2 linked regions of the Neurospora crassa OR74A genome follow. The protein of the gene in region 2 interacts with the protein of the main gene of each other region in a biochemical or structural test. Links are inferred from orthologs where the notes say so. Each region holds a gene or a part of one and is shown on either strand. Other genes may lie near its edges.

What was found. The genes of interacting proteins can lie anywhere in the genome.
Region 1: the proteins of cdc24 (region 2) and NCU06593 form a complex in vitro, tested with the Schizosaccharomyces pombe proteins (2 studies listed by BioGRID, with this or other methods). The link is inferred for Neurospora crassa OR74A from reciprocal best matches to the Schizosaccharomyces pombe genes scd1 and scd2.

What each region holds. Positions count from the first base shown.
Region 1 is NC_026504.1:1,739,927-1,748,002, forward strand, and holds NCU06593 (MAP kinase activator), read right to left. Parts: upstream 5,365-8,076; 5' UTR 4,132-5,364; coding exon 4,126-4,131; intron 3,740-4,125; coding exon 3,644-3,739; intron 3,586-3,643; coding exon 2,845-3,585; intron 2,787-2,844; coding exon 1,911-2,786; 3' UTR 906-1,910; downstream 1-905. Other genes in the region: NCU06592 (hypothetical protein), read left to right, coding at 1-170. UniProt on the Schizosaccharomyces pombe protein: Required for mating and morphogenesis. Interacts directly with scd1 and with cdc42. May bridge and facilitate scd1 and cdc42 interactions.
Region 2 is NC_026507.1:1,920,655-1,927,659, reverse strand, and holds the end of cdc24 (rho guanyl nucleotide exchange factor), read right to left. Parts: coding exon 6,876-7,005; intron 6,790-6,875; coding exon 6,250-6,789; intron 6,189-6,249; coding exon 5,946-6,188; intron 5,861-5,945; coding exon 5,674-5,860; intron 5,620-5,673; coding exon 4,193-5,619; 3' UTR 2,948-4,192; downstream 1-2,947. Other genes in the region: NCU06065 (hypothetical protein), read right to left, coding at 1-247, 346-443; NCU06066 (mitochondrial 37S ribosomal protein YmS-T), read left to right, coding at 1,344-1,449, 1,583-1,749. UniProt on the Schizosaccharomyces pombe protein: Required for mating and morphogenesis. May contain a cryptic binding site for cdc42 that is enhanced by binding Ras. Interacts directly with scd2. Promotes the exchange of cdc42-bound GDP by GTP.

The DNA of each region.
Region 1 (8,076 bases), on a different chromosome or scaffold from region 2:
TGCCCGGTGCTACGGGGGTAGAGGACCCGCTGACGCTGACGCCGATTCCGAGTGGAGGACCCGTGTCTCTGACGGATCGGCCGGTCAGATGCCCGTTTTGTGTGAATCAGAGGATGTTGAGGACTATCAAGGAGGCGGTCGAGCATATGAGTACTCATGTTGTAGTTTGAGGGAAGATGTGACTGAGATGGGGACCCTTGCTTGGAACTGGCGTTATGCCTGCCTCGCTCCCGATACCGAGGCGTGTTTATTCTTCCATTTTTTTTTCTTGTAATGGGTTTAGTTTAGAGTTTCTTCCCCGTTCCCCGGTTTTTCCTTTCTTGTTTTTCTTTCTTCCCTTCTTTTCATTTCATTTTTTTCTCGTTTTGTTTGCTTCATTACTAAATATGTCTGTCTTGTTGGGCAACAGTCAGTCAGCCATATTTATCCTGGCATTCCAGGTATCGCTATGTCTACTTTGGGACTCTGGTGGATTGCAACTGGCGTTTCAGGTGTCAATTTTTTTTTTTAGCAGGGGAGCAGGGGTATACGGTTCGTTGTACGCCCAACTCACTTTTCATAGGTGATATGTGAGCCTCGGAGTTATTAGTTGGGGACGTATATTGCATTTCTGTATGCTTTTCAGTAAGAATTTCCTAGATCTGGCCTTCGGGCTGGTTGACTTACAAGCATTACATTGGTAGTGTGAAACGGCATCGACTTCGTTACTTCCAACTTTGTAAATATGTAACGAACTTTGACTGATTGTTGTGGAAGTGTCATTGTTACCATTGCTTCCTTTACCAGAACAAGAATGCGATGTATGTTTTCGATGGGCTTGGCATTTGCCGTAATTGTGCATTTATTCAACTTCCAATGACATTGTATAGCAGATGTCACATGCAATTATCGGAAGTCGCGATATCTTCAAATGTAGATTTATGCTACTTACTGGCTGCGAGTAGACCACCACTACTCTCTTTTCTCCGGTCATCTTTCGCTCCCAATTTTTTTATTACCAAAAACACCTTGACTGCACATGGATATCTTCAAATCTCACCTACACTGCAGAAACGATACCCCGTGTCCCCCGCCATCTCGGTCAACATCCTGAAACACAAAAAGCCTGTGGGTGTAAATTCATTTCATTCATCATCCATTCACAAGGGCCCCTTCTTCTTCTTCTTGTCCCTTGTCATCACCCTCAGCACCACCATTACCACCTCCACCACCTCTTCTTATGGTAATCCACCACCCATCTTCGACCTCGAGTAGCAACGTAGTTTGGTATCAAATTTAATCCTTCCACCCTCCCCCACGCCTAACCAAGAATCCATCTCCCAACTTGGCCCCACCGCAGCCTTCCAGCAAGCGCGCAGATCCTCCCCTGACTCTACTTCCTTCCTTTTTTTCACCATGGTCACAGACTCCTTTGGCCTGACTCCTGAGCTGTTCCAAAAAAATATCACCGTATCCCAAAGTCCCTGCCGCATCCAAAATGCCCCATGACCATCTGCGTCCCAGAAATTTTAGTGAGTGGAGAGAGACGAGCCGATCAATTCGAAATGTATTACAACGACTGAACCGCGAAGTCCTATATGATTTACGTATGCGTTTGGGTATATAGCGTGGGGTATAGATATCGCATTGTGTGTTGGATAAAGAGCAGTTTGTTGGCAGCCGTCAACGAGAAAAGATGGTATGTAACTGAGTGCGCAAATGAGCAATTCCCTCCACGTTGTTCGCCTTGCTTGTGTATGTAGCCATCTGGCGTGACTTTTGAAGGCCGAGCGCTTAGTTTACCCAGTTGCTGCCTTCGAATCAAATGTTCGTGAAACATGGCGCATGTGACCATGGTATCCGAATGCGCTGTGTATCGGAATATGGCCAACAAACGTGTATGGGTTGGGGTTTCAAAGTCCGTCAGTCCATTATTCCACGTAAACGAGCAGCTTTTCGTTCCGTTGCAGTGCAATATCCAGATCTTCGTCGTTCATCAGAGGAGGCTTCTCGCCACTCGCGTCGTCCTTGTAACTTAGCTGAACGTCCTCGCCCTGAGGAATCTTGAGACGATCCAGAATCTTGTCATGGAGAGCTTGGAATGGAATATCAGTGGGTACGCGGATGGCGATGATGTCGCCGTTGAAGTGCAGTTTCACTTTCATCTGTGAACCACCCTGCATAATAGCAGGTGACAATGAGGTCTGTGAAGCCTGCCCAGGTCCCGGAATCTGTTGGCCGTTGCCAATGCTCAGCTGCCTCTGAGGAACACCGAGACCGGCAGAATATCTGTTGCCGGCTGTGCTCTGTAGTGAGAGGCCGTCGGCTGGTGAGTCAGAGGACGGACCAGAGCCTCCAGAGAATCGGTATTCCTCGCGAGCAACGCTAGGGTCGATTTCGTAATCACCCTCTCTAGGAGAAAAGAACTGCTTGACCAGGTTACAGCGGGAGATGTGTGGCGGTTGTTCCAGTAGACTTTTAACGTAAGAGTCAAGGTTGTGGCGGCGGCCTTCCGTAATCGCATCAGTCACGTAATTAACAGGACCGGGCATGTAGGGTAGCGTCCGCTGCTTGCCGCCTGTAGTTCCAGCTTCAAGAGGGAACTCGGTTAGGAGCGCGATTTGGAAGTCGTAGAAATCCTCGTAGTATCGCGAAAGTTCGAAGCATCGACCATCCTCCAGTTCGGCTTCAATAACAAACCAGTACTTGTCCTCGGCAAAGCAGTACCTCGGAACCCTGGCTGCGATGGGTGCGTATAGTGTCGAGGTTGGCCTCGAATAGGATTGTCCTTGAGCCTGTATCTGTTGCTGCAAAGACCTGTTAGTACAAACACGCACGCAAAGTAAGTGGACAGAATACACGTACCTGGGTATGAGTAGTCTGCTGGCTCAACCGGGCGCTTCCTTGCAAAGTTAAGCGGTTCATGGCCTGGTCAAGTGGTGGTTGGCCACCACCGCCACCACCAACATCGAACTTGCCGAGCGTTATGCTCGAGTTCTTATATTCCGCAGCCATCTTCTTCCACTCCTCGACCTTTGGAATCCCAGCTTTTCGTATGGCATCATGGGGGTTCGGGACAGGGGTGTTACTCGCCATGTCCCGGATCTCAACAAAGGATACGGGAATCAGACCCGGGCCGCCAAGTCTTCCGATGGGCTTAGCCACGAACCATTCGGGGTTCGACTGGGCAATGACAATGATGGCCTCGCCCTGCTTGGCTTCCAATTCGTCTGCCCGTTCGGCTTGGAAATCGTACAAAACGACACCATAAACCATGGCTCCATTCTTGCCAGGCGTTTTCGACATCCGATTCGCGGCGTTTGCTCCAGGAGGCGAGGCCGCCGAGCCTTCGCCGTATCCAGAATCACTATCTACGGTCTTCAAACCCAGTGAACCGGTTTGAGACTGGCCGCTATCGCGTTCCGTACGTCCAAGGGCCTGGAAATAAGCGACGGGCACGAGACCACGAGCGTCTGGTAGCGCAGGGTTGCACGCCTCATACCACTCTGGGTCATTTTCACGACCGATGACATGGAAGAAATCGCCGCGTGAAAAGCTAAGCTCCTGTGCATTTTGTGCTTCGTAATCGTAGAGAGCTTTTATAACCTGTGATAACAAGTTTAGCCTAAGCGCCTTGTGGCTGACACCTTGTTACGAGACATACCTTCTTTGGAGGGACGATGGCGACGGCAGATTTCGGTTGAATAGTAATATGAGGTTTGGAGTCCTTCTCTCCACCCTTGATGGACCTTCGTAGAGCCTTAAAACCGCGTGACATTGTTAGTTGCCAGAACGACGAAACCGCAGTATTGAAATGAGTAGTCCGACGAGGCCAAGAAAATTCGAGAGGTGCTGTGGGTGTAGATGGAGCAGACACTAAGAAAAAGGATTCTTCCGGTTCACGCAAGCTGTATTGCATCGTGACGAATTGGCCAAGGCAAGAACGCCTATGTGATGGTGTATGAATACCTGAGCCGTAGCCCGATCCTATCTCTCATGTCCCCAATAGCAGTGAAGCCTCTGCTATACAATCACGAGGGCTGTTTCCTGGGGAACGAGCAAAAACGATCGGACTGAAGAGGAGGAGGGACGGGGAAGGGAAGAGAGAGGGGATGGCAGAGCACAGAACAGCGGGGAATGACGTACCTTCATCTTGTCCGACAGCGATACTCAGACGACTTGTAAGCTATGTGTACACAAACCAAAACCGGAACTATTGTGCTATACACAGAGAGAAACAGGAACGGCTGACGGGGTGAGAGGCGTCAGCAAACAACTTTTGGAGCGGGCGTCCTGGTGTCGGCGTGCGCGGGCAATCGTGGTTGGGGTTACGCCGACTCAAATGACGGACGGCGAGAGGGCTTGCCTAGGATCCCTCTGGGGTTGGTCCTGGGCGGTTCTGCTCGTGTGTGTGGTGTGTGTGTGTGTGTGTCGTGGAGGGTGTTGCTAGGTGGAATCTGTGTAACGATCCAAATGTGCCGTATGTATCGGTCGGATGGGAGCCGGGAAAGCAGCGCGGCGATGACGGGAGTGGATATCGCGGACGGGGTCGTTATCTGCTGCACTAGTGTTTGCGACCGTGCGAACGTAAGGGAGACGTAATTTGGAAAGCAGCGGTTGTCCAGCTAATTTCGGCGACCGTTTCGTGTAAAATGGTCGCGCCCCAATACTTCTGTTCCCCAAGTGGATAGCTGACCCCAAGTTCGCTGTCTGGCCGAGTTTGCCTCAATCTTGGCTTTCCGTCTTTGTCTGAGCCTGATCAGGGCCGCCTGGCGTGTGGGCGTGTGGTGTTGATGCAATTCTCTTGTTCCTTTGTTCAGCCGCAATGCCGACTGCCTAGACCCAATGCTCAATGCGCAAGTCCCAGTCCGGCGAGCGCTTCTAGAATGTCTAAGTAGTGGTGGACAATCCGCCGGGAGTTGCGTTGGGTGTTGCGACGAGTGTTGTCGGCGATGATGGACTTGACTGTCGCAGTAGGAAGGTTGGTTGTCGAGAGTTGGAACTGGTGATGAGTGAACGAAGCGAGCGAACGGGCAGGTGGGAATGGAAACTGGAAACTGCACGGTGGCGGGGAAGGATCAGGATCAGGTGGGATATATGGCCTGCGTGCCTTGCGTGCTAGTCCTCGGGACGGGCAGCAATAGCATTAAAAAAATAATAAAAAGGGAGATAGCAACAGCCCAAAGCCAAGCTTGCAACGGAAGCAGCAAGGGTGATCACCAAGGGTCGGGTCCAGGTGTGTTCTCGCAGAGTGGAAGCCGACAGGGTGTGGAGGTGGTGGCCGGAGATGGCTCGAAGACGGGCGGGTAGGTGTGATGAAGGTCACAAGCAAGTCACCAGCCTAGCCGAGACGGACGGCATGGAACATGTTGGAAAAACAGCCACTCAGGCTTGCTTATTCGCCTAGTGTCTGTTAGTGTCTGCTAGTTTATGTCCGTGTCCTGACCGTGAAAGGGTGGCTGCCTCTATCTAGCCGTTAGCATCCGCATGACAATCGGCATGACAATGGACGGCCAAGGACCTCGACTTAAGAGGGGAATTGTAGCGTTGCAGCAGCGCAGAGGCCGCGCGGGCAGGTACCTGAAGGCACCCCGGCCTGGTTGATTGGCGCAGTTGCTGCCCTGCATGTTGGTGCAATTGGAGAGCGCCGCCAGGGTTCTCACGTCCAGAGGGACCCACCCTCCCTGGACCTGGCTGTGGTGGATTCGAATTGGCTTTCGTTCTTAGGTACCTCCACTGTTTCTTGGCCGCTCTCGATCTTTGGGATTCCGGACGTGCCCACCGCGATACGACCAGGAACTTTGCGACAAACGAATGAAAGAAGTCGGCCAACGTCAAATCTCAACTGAAACCAACCAGCTTGCTAGTCTTACACGATCTGATCAAAGATGAGCCGCGCGCAATGAGGCCATTGAAAAGCTAAGATTGCTGCTCCCTCAGGTATTCTCCGTTGGTATCTTTGTCGCTGTCATTGCCTGGCCTAAGATATGTGTGCGTGCTAGTGTGCATGATATTGTACATATCTTTGAAGCCACTGCATATGCATCGTGATCGCGCTTGTCATAGCGGAAACTGTGGTTGGTTTGCTGAGTCGAGTCGACAACCAGGGTGTTATGGACACGGTACCTGAGGATTTTTTCTCACTTCTCCAACCTCAACTGAAGGATTGATTGCTTCATTCTCGAGTCTGTTCCGTCACTACCCATCCAAGTGACTTGAAAGGCGTCGTCGTCGACAACAAGTCGATGCTGTGAGGCAGGAATATGCCTGCTGTTAGTGCATCAACTCATACGATGCGTCATGAGATGTTCAAAGCCCACACCTTGTCAATGCATTGACATCGGGCTCCATCATAACGTCGGTGGACTTGAAAGCCGAAGGGGACTCGATAGAATGCAAGGCCTCCAAGACGGTTCACAAGCAACCCCTAGTAGGAAAAAGCCTAGTACTAGCATCACTGGATTGACGCTGACATATGTCCTTCTGATGGCGACTTAGCTCGGGATTTTCAGATCTACCTATGTTTGGCAGATTCATTCTACACAGTCCGAATCTCCTTCATTGGTGCAGCAAAAAGCATCGCGATCAAATTTTAGGTAGATATCGGTTCTCGGTCTCGGGGTATTTCGGATGAAGCTCCGCGGCCTGTGCCTGACTAATCAGAACAACCCAACCCAACAGCGAACAAGGAGCATTGGCGTCTAGACTCGATAGAGACAGCACTGTAACGGCCTGGTAGGGCTCTGCCGCAAAGCTCCCGATTTTGGAATCTGGGCATTAACCGATCCAGTTTTTTCTTTCTTTTCTTATTCTTTTGCTTAACAAATCTCACTTTTTGTCATTTCGGGGTTTCTGTTCGGCCTTTGTATCATGTTCATCTCATTCTGGCCACAACAATAATATGCGAGCTCCTAGAGGGAATCATAAACACGAGAATAGTGCAAGTGGACGGACGTCCTTCGAATACTCAACATCTTCACCCTCTCTATTGGACATGAACAACGCCCAAGAAAAGCCGCCAATTGCCATGTTTTCCATGGCAATGGTTTCAACCCTCTTTCCATTTATCGATGCACGACTTCTACGTACATGCACGAGGTTTGACCAATCGGGATGTGACGCGAGGAGCACACGACGGGCCGGGATGCCCGCTGGCGCACCTGTAAGCAATGAGGCAGCGTGGTATTTTTCCTTTTTCCACATGGTATGGTGTCTATCTTTCGCCTCACCAGCCACCGCTTCAATTCGACCCAAGGTTAAGTTAGCAACTGCATCAAGAAGCAAACGCGTAGCATGGAGGTTCGTCACATCTGCTTGCAATGCGGGCAGAAGTCGAAGGACCCGACCCTTTTCCACCATTGATTATGATGCGCGGCCGATTGTGTTGGCCTCCGGCTCCCCGTACTCTGACTCAAAAGACAACAAGGATGGCATCGATATCGACGGCGCACAATATGACTGTGTTGTGTGCTGGAGCTCACTAAGTACGTTCTTATTTTGCTAACTGTAAGACATGCCCACTCAACCTCCCTGCTCTTAGCATTGTTCCCTTAACGCCAAACACCTGAGTTACCTGTACTAGCATGAAGAAGGAACAAAGAAAAAAAGACAAGGGACAAATGCAAGCAGTTTTGACACCCCGAGACGCCAAAACCCTATGCTCGCTGACCCAAACCACCACCCAAAGATGCCGACACCGGAACGCAAGGGATACTGAAAAATTGTTGAATAAGAGAGCGGTGCCTGTAAGGACGCATAGAAGGAGAGCAGGGTGCCACTACAGCACCATAGCAACTAATGCTGCTGCTTCCACGTCGCCAAAGGTCACCTCCGCATGACCCTAATGCTTGCTAAAACAAGAGACCCCGTGAGCCGACACGTCGAGATCCTCCGGCAAGACACATTGATCGGGAAAGAAGGGGGTCGATGTGCGAAGACGCCATCTATCATCCTGTCCACCGAGAATGGGTTCCGAAAACGGTGGATATTACGTCTCCATTTTTGAGTAGAGTAGGCAGATTCGAATACTGCACGCCTCAACCACGTTTGAGGTCAATTAGGTTGACCTGATGCTGGCAAATGACATTGAAGAACAGG
Region 2 (7,005 bases):
GTCGACATTGTAGTTGGCAAAGGTCGGTACGTATCGTTCGCTGCGCGCGCGTTTTCGCTGTCCTCGGCCTCGACTGTCGAGCTCTACGAAGGCGGGGTCGACGGGTGGAGGAACAAGCAGACCACCAACGCGCTTCCAGATCTGGCGCGGGCCGCAGCGGCGGAGAGCAATAACGGGAACGCGCTCCCATGCTTTGGGAGAGGCGATATGCGGAGGTGCTAGAAAGTCGGCTGCGAGAAATGGTCGCCTGCAATAAGACACGGATGCGCGGTAAGTCATCATCTCCATGCGACAAGGTGAATTAAGTGTCGTAGGCGAGCGACAGGACAGAAGAGGCAGACATACTCTTTGGAAAATGTGAAGATGGGAGTCTCGTGGAGAATGGCAGCGTTCAAGGCGCCGCCCGTAAAGTCCACCATTGTCGCAATTGGTGTCCCCGTCATGCAGCGACGTCTTTGTGTGTTAGGTACTTATGTGATGGTGTATAGTGTGTAGTTTATTGTGTTTAGCTAGGTATGCAGGATAACCGTGGTTCGTTGTCGCGTTGCTTGGATAGGAGACGGCAGTGGCAGCGATGAGTCCCGATGTAAACAAAGGTCGCTTTGGAAGAGAGAAAAAAAAAAAATCAAAAAGTAAAAAGAAAAAAAAAAAGAAAACAGATAAACTGTGTTGCGGAAACAGCAAGCAAATACGCGCCGAAAGTTATGCTTTGCCAACAATGCAATGGGTATCCGTCATGAGTCGTCGTGAGTACCGAAAAGGACGTGGGAAGGAAGAAGGTGTCGCATGTGTTTTTCGGGGGGGGAACCTTCAAAAAGCAACAAATCGCGAAGACACGGGAAGGTGTGACTTGTTGAGTGACAAACCCTCCAAAGTCTGTTTCTGTTTACATGCCGAGCAATCCGCCAATCATCTTGCACCAAATCTGGAGCTACTATCGCTATGCCAAGAAGCCACGCTCCACCTGCTTTCTACCCCACGCGGGCCCAAATTTGAGGTAGGTACATGCACCAAGTACCTCGACTGCGTTGCCTGCCTGCCTGATGTCGCTCTGTCACTGCACCCGCCTTATCTTCACGTGATCCCCAAATCTTTCATTCCACAGCGGGGACCCTGCGCAGCGAACGGAAAGCCGGCCGGCGCACACGGCACCCATCTGATCGCAGTGAGAGTAGAGCTCCAGACAGGTCCGGAACACGGAAGTGGAAATCCCCCCGGTTTTATTCGAGCACCGTAACGGACACCTCCGACCGTGACCCCGATTGTCCCCCGGCCCCCCCTTCCCCCTCCTCCCGTCTTCTCCGATCTTCTCCGACAGAAACCGACAACACAACGCTGTCAAAATGCCCAACAAGCCCATCCGTCTGCCGCCGCTGAAGCAGCTGCGCGTTCGCCAGGCCAACAAGGCCGAGGAGAACCCTTGCATCGCCGTCATGTCCTCGGTTCTCGGTACGCATTGAGCCTTCTCTCCTTCCTTCCTTTCTTCCTTTCTTCCGTAACACTCCTAGTCCGCCAATCAAGCAAAGCGAAGCGCAAAAGAGGAAAAGAAAGCCAACTAATTGCGCCTTGAAAAAAAAAACAGCTTGCTGGGCTTCCGCCGGTTACAACTCGGCCGGTTGCGCCACGGTCGAGAACGCCCTGCGCGCGTGCATGGACGCGCCCAAGCCTGCGCCCAAGCCCAACAACACCATCAACTACCACTTGTCTCGCTTCCAGGAGAGACTCACTCAGGGCAAGTCCAAGAAATAAGCGACGACGGGCGTGTACGACTCTGTGCTGTGTCCCGACGACGACAACGATGACGACAACGACGACGAGGACGAGGACAAGGACGATAGGAAAGACGAGAGAAGAAAAAAAGACAAACGACACACTCAACCTTATACATAATTTGGGGATCCATTCAAGACCGATCATAATTCCCACGCCCCTTCCCCTCCCCCTCCCTCCTCTCAAAGAACTACTACAACCATGTTGATATCCCTGCGACGCCAACGCCATTGGATGGAGGAGGCGGGAGGAGTTGGGAGGATGTTAGAAGAAGAGTTGTCGTGGGAAAAGTTACTGCGTGGGAAACAATTGAAAGAGGATTAAGTGGTTTCGAAACAAAAATTACGAGGCAAGACCAGTTCGCGCCCTGGTGTGATACCCCCCCAAAATGGAAGGAAAGCAAGAGATAGAGATGGGAGAGGAGGAGGAGAGCGGAAGCATATGCACACCAAGACATGAGCTGGCATGGCCTACGTACGATGTGCTGCTGGCGTCTTTCACAAGTCAGTTCGGATATCTGGATGGCCAGCCGTTGAGGGTTGCTTGCTTGCTGCTGTACAATATTGTGGCAATATTCAAAGGAAAAAAAGCATTTGGGAGAACTAAGTGAGGCTTATGCTTATCCGGGCGTTTTAGTATATATTTGAATTTTTTCTTTTTTTTTTCCTTAGAGGCATTGTAACAATACAACTTACATACATCATATACTATAAGTTCATAAATTGCCGCCATGGTAGTTCACAAAAATGATTATCACACTGCGTTTATCCCTCCTTGGCGGGAACATCACGGACCGATGAGTCCATTTGAAACGGTAAAAAGGATCCTGATCATCAAATTTGCCTCCAGTACCCAGCCAAAGCATCATACTTGACTAAAAGGGGCTGTTTAGAAATTCAACAATGGGGATGATTCTTTGAATGCAATGTTCCGACAAGGGTGGCTTCGAGAGAAGATCGTGGCCAATGTCTTTCGATCAAGAGGTTTTTGTCTGGAACGGCAATAGTGTACACCAGTGAACTAGGATATTTGGATCTGTTTGCAGACAAAATCCACTCTTTAGTGGTTGATTTATTGAACAAACTACTGGATCATCCCACGAATCATGTTCACGAACGTACACGTTAATGTTCAAGCAGTTGCTTACTCTTCACATTAACCGTTATAAAGCACCTAACCTAAGTTTACTCTCTCCTCTGCTCTGCTCTAGACTCTATAAAAGACTGGAATAACTAACAGACAAACAAACAACAAAAATGCGCAATTGGGTATTCATATCTGACTATAAAGATCAACCAAAAAAAAAAAAAAGAAAAAAAAAAGACAACAACTTCACTGACCGTCAACCCCTTCCTCCTCCCTTCTTTTCCTTCTTCCTCCATTCCGTCCATCTATTTTCACTCTCGGCCCGCTCGCGTCCTCCTTCTTGCTCCATGCTTCCCCCTCTTGACCATGGGAAACCACCAAAATTACCGGACCCGTCCCGCTTGCGTCCAAGCAACCACTGTTTGGACAGCCGCCTTGACTTCTCTTTGATTTCCAGCAGAGAACTCACTCCAACTCTCATTCATCCGTGTGTTGTTCCCGTTGAAACCAAACCGAACAGAGACAAGACGGAAGCAAGGAAACCGTTGCTCATCTCATCCCCTGGCATCCATCACATTCTAACCCGTCCTGACAAACCCGACTCGACAAAGACCGATACTCAAAGACCGACAAGGTATAAGACAGCAAATAGTCCTTCACTACGCAGAAATGATGAGAAAACAATGATGGGGAAACAAGACAAATGAAAGAGGGAAGGGAGCTTGACCCGTGATGATGATGATGATGATGATGATGATGATGATGATGACAAAGGAAAATCCAAGAAAATGCCCGTGTCTATAGCCGACACCGATAAAAAAAATGATTCTTGGTGTGCGCGTGCGTGTGTACTCTTTAGAGAGAGAGAGAGAGTGAGTGAGTGAGATAAGAGATGACAACTAAAGGAAATGGTGTGTGTGTATAGATGTCTGTGATGAGTCGTTTCTTAGAAGAAGAACCGTACGATGATGATGATGGTGATTATGCGGGTCCGCCTTTGTCTGTATGTTTGGAGAATCCATGCATGCCAATCCTTGTTGCCGAGTTTCTGTCCCAAGACAAGATGATAAGTGAAAGATGGTACCCAAAAACCGAGAAGAGAAATGAGTTGTTTGTCGAATTGAGTTGCCGAACAGATGAGGGACAGTGATAAAAGTGACAGAATGTGACGGACGTGAGAGGGATGAAAGACAGGTTGTTGCTGCTGCCTTTTTTTTTTACAATATGGTGCTGTCCAAGTTTATTCCAAAAAAAAAAAAAAAGAAATGAGAAGACCGACGCAAGCGGGTGTGTTCGGAATTTTCTGTGAGCACACAATGCCACTTTGATGCCCTGCTCACTCCAACAGTTCCCCTTCGCAGTACAGGTCAATTTCCCCGGCGCTATCTGGGTTGCGAAGCCCCTCACGCCAATCCGAAATGGCGATTTGAATATCATCGTCGCTCTCGATCATGACGAAGTCGCCATCCTCATCCCGGTACCGTAACCTCAAATTACCCCCGCCGATACTGCTACTGGTAAACCGCGAAAGTTTATTGTCGATGCGGTCAATCAGTTTCTCGTAAGTAATGTCGTAGAGCACAACCAATGTGATGTAGTTACCGGTATCGCAGTGAACCTTGACCTTCAGTTGCGTGGGGAGCATGTCGTCATCTGTGGGTGAGAGCGGGTTCTGTCCGGACATGATCGGTGCGGTACCGAGCGATGGGGTGATGTTTCGCGTTCCCTCAGTCGGGGCAAGAGGCGCCATGCCCGGTGGGGGCGGGCCAGATGGCGGAGGGAAGCCGGTGACACTGCCTGGTGTTCCCTGGCGGATAGGCTGTGGAGGGAACTGATTCAATTGGCCTCCATAGTTCTTCCGCTCTCTGCCAGGGGAACCTGTCTGGGTCCGTAGAGGAAGGTCGTTTGCTGGACTGCCGGTATTGCTCCTGGGAATGTTGGAATCATGGCGGGCATGGGTTAGATGGGCGGGAATGCCTGGCACCGCAGGTACCCCTGTCTGGTTGATGCGCGCAGCGGCCTGGCCAGCAATGTCCGGTGTACTATAACTCCGACTGCGTGCCTGCTGAAACTGGCTGTTATCCCCCCGGGGCATAACGGGCATCGAGGGTCCTCGTGGGTTCCTCCCGGTTCCTGGAGATGGGCCGTCTCGCGATGGCGCCCTTGGCATGGCAGGGGCCGTGTAGCGGTTGCTATCCTCCTGCCATCCTTGGGGGGTACCGGTCTTGGGGAAAGGATAGCCGGATCCGGCACCGGCGAAGATGCCGCTCGCTGTGCTCGTCCGACTCGAAGCGGGCGACTCGGCTACGGGAGAGAAGTAAGACTCGCCTGCTCGAACAGCGGGTGATGGCTGAAGGCCAACATTGAGAGGCGCAGGTGCCTGTGGAAGAGGGAATCGTGGAGGTGGTGCGCGAGCCATACCTGCTAGACTGTCGCTGGTGGCGGACCGCTGCCGTAGACTTGTGCTCGATCCATTCCGCGGCATTGTGCCTGGCATGGCAACGGTCGGGGCAGCAGCATTATAGATGTCCTCGTCCTCTTCTTCGTCCTTGTAGGGATTCTCCAGTCCGTTGCCTTGCGAGGCGAGCCAGGCAAAGTTTGGCGGAGCTTGATCAGGAGCAACTGGGGCCGCTTGCGTGTTCTGCTTTCGCTGTTCTTCCAGACCGGCGGCCCACTTCTTCATCATCTCTTCGGTCTGGAATTTGATCATGAAATTCTCCACGCCCGGATCGCCCTTCCACCATATTTGTACGGTATACGAACCTGCACAGTCAGCAACTGTTGTGTTCCGCCGAGAATTCCAACTGTGTCGCTTACCAGGCTTGGAAATGGCTACTACATCGGTGACATTGGTCATGAAGATGCGGCCCTTAAGTTGTAGTTTGGCGAACTTGTTCCGCAACTTTGGTACGGATGATCGAGTCTTGTCCTTCTTGTCCTTGGCTTTAGTCGTAGTGAGTTCCTTGCAACAGAGCAAGATATTCTCAAAAAGATAGATCTCATACTGCTGAGGAAGGTTAGCGGTCCATTATCAGCTCGTCTTATACCAGCAAAAGGAGGAACGCATGCGCCAGGGGGGAGATACGTACGTCCTTCTCTTGTTCACTCTTGCCCGTTATAACAGTGTATACTCCGTGTAGGAGCAGACTTCCAAAGTTGTCCACCTTATGGCTCTTCCAGTCGTCTACTCGGTGTATAAGGTCCTGCAAGGCCTCTTCGAGGATGTTCTTATCAACGGCCGAATTGGCTTTCATCAAGACCCGTTCAGCAGCAGCGATGCCGGCAGCTAAATCCTCCTTGGTGTGCTCGTCCTCGCTCTTCTTCAGCAAATCCTTTGAGAACAAGCCAATTAGTATGCGCATTAGTACCATCAAAAGGACGCAGTATCCATACCTTGAGCAAAAGCGGGTACTTGACCAGTCTCTGCATAGGCTTGAGGAGGAAACCATCAAGGGTATTAAAATCACACGCGACCGGATGGCCAGCCTCTTGGATCTTGTCAAACACTTGCGTCGCAACCTGGGCCGCCTTTCTTTGGTTCGCGATAAAGGGTTGGTAAATGCCAAAGTTCTCTTCAGCTGTGACGAACAAGCTTCCCCATTCCTGCCTAGCCTGCGGCATCGAATTTGTTGTTTCTACCCTGATGAGGAACTTTCGTTGATGATCCAAGATGGCGTTGATATTAAGGAATATGTCGTGGATGAATTCGCCAGGGATAACGCTCCTGTGTTCCAGCGTCCTCTTCAGGTCGTGGAGGTTCTCGAGATCCTGTACGTATTTGCGCTCCGTGTCTACCAGTTCTCGAACAATGTAATCGCGATGGGTCATCTTAGAACCCGGCTGCGTGATATCATCTTCGGGGTATGGCAGGGTTTGGAGCAAGAGGCCCCGTTTTTCGGCAAGATCGAGCACATAGTTGATAACAGAAGTCACCTGGTTTTCCGAACATGTGCTCTCGTCAGCATATACTGTTCCATCAAGTGTGCAGGTAAAAAGGGGGCGCCATAAGATTCGCTCACCTTGACAAAGCCGGTGGTATCCTCCCCTGTAAGGTCGGCGACGATAAAGCATTCGGTAACGGGAGGGTCGAGGTCGCTCAAGCAGGCCTTGACGAATTCCATAATGGCGCGTTTGGACCGTCGCGCTTCC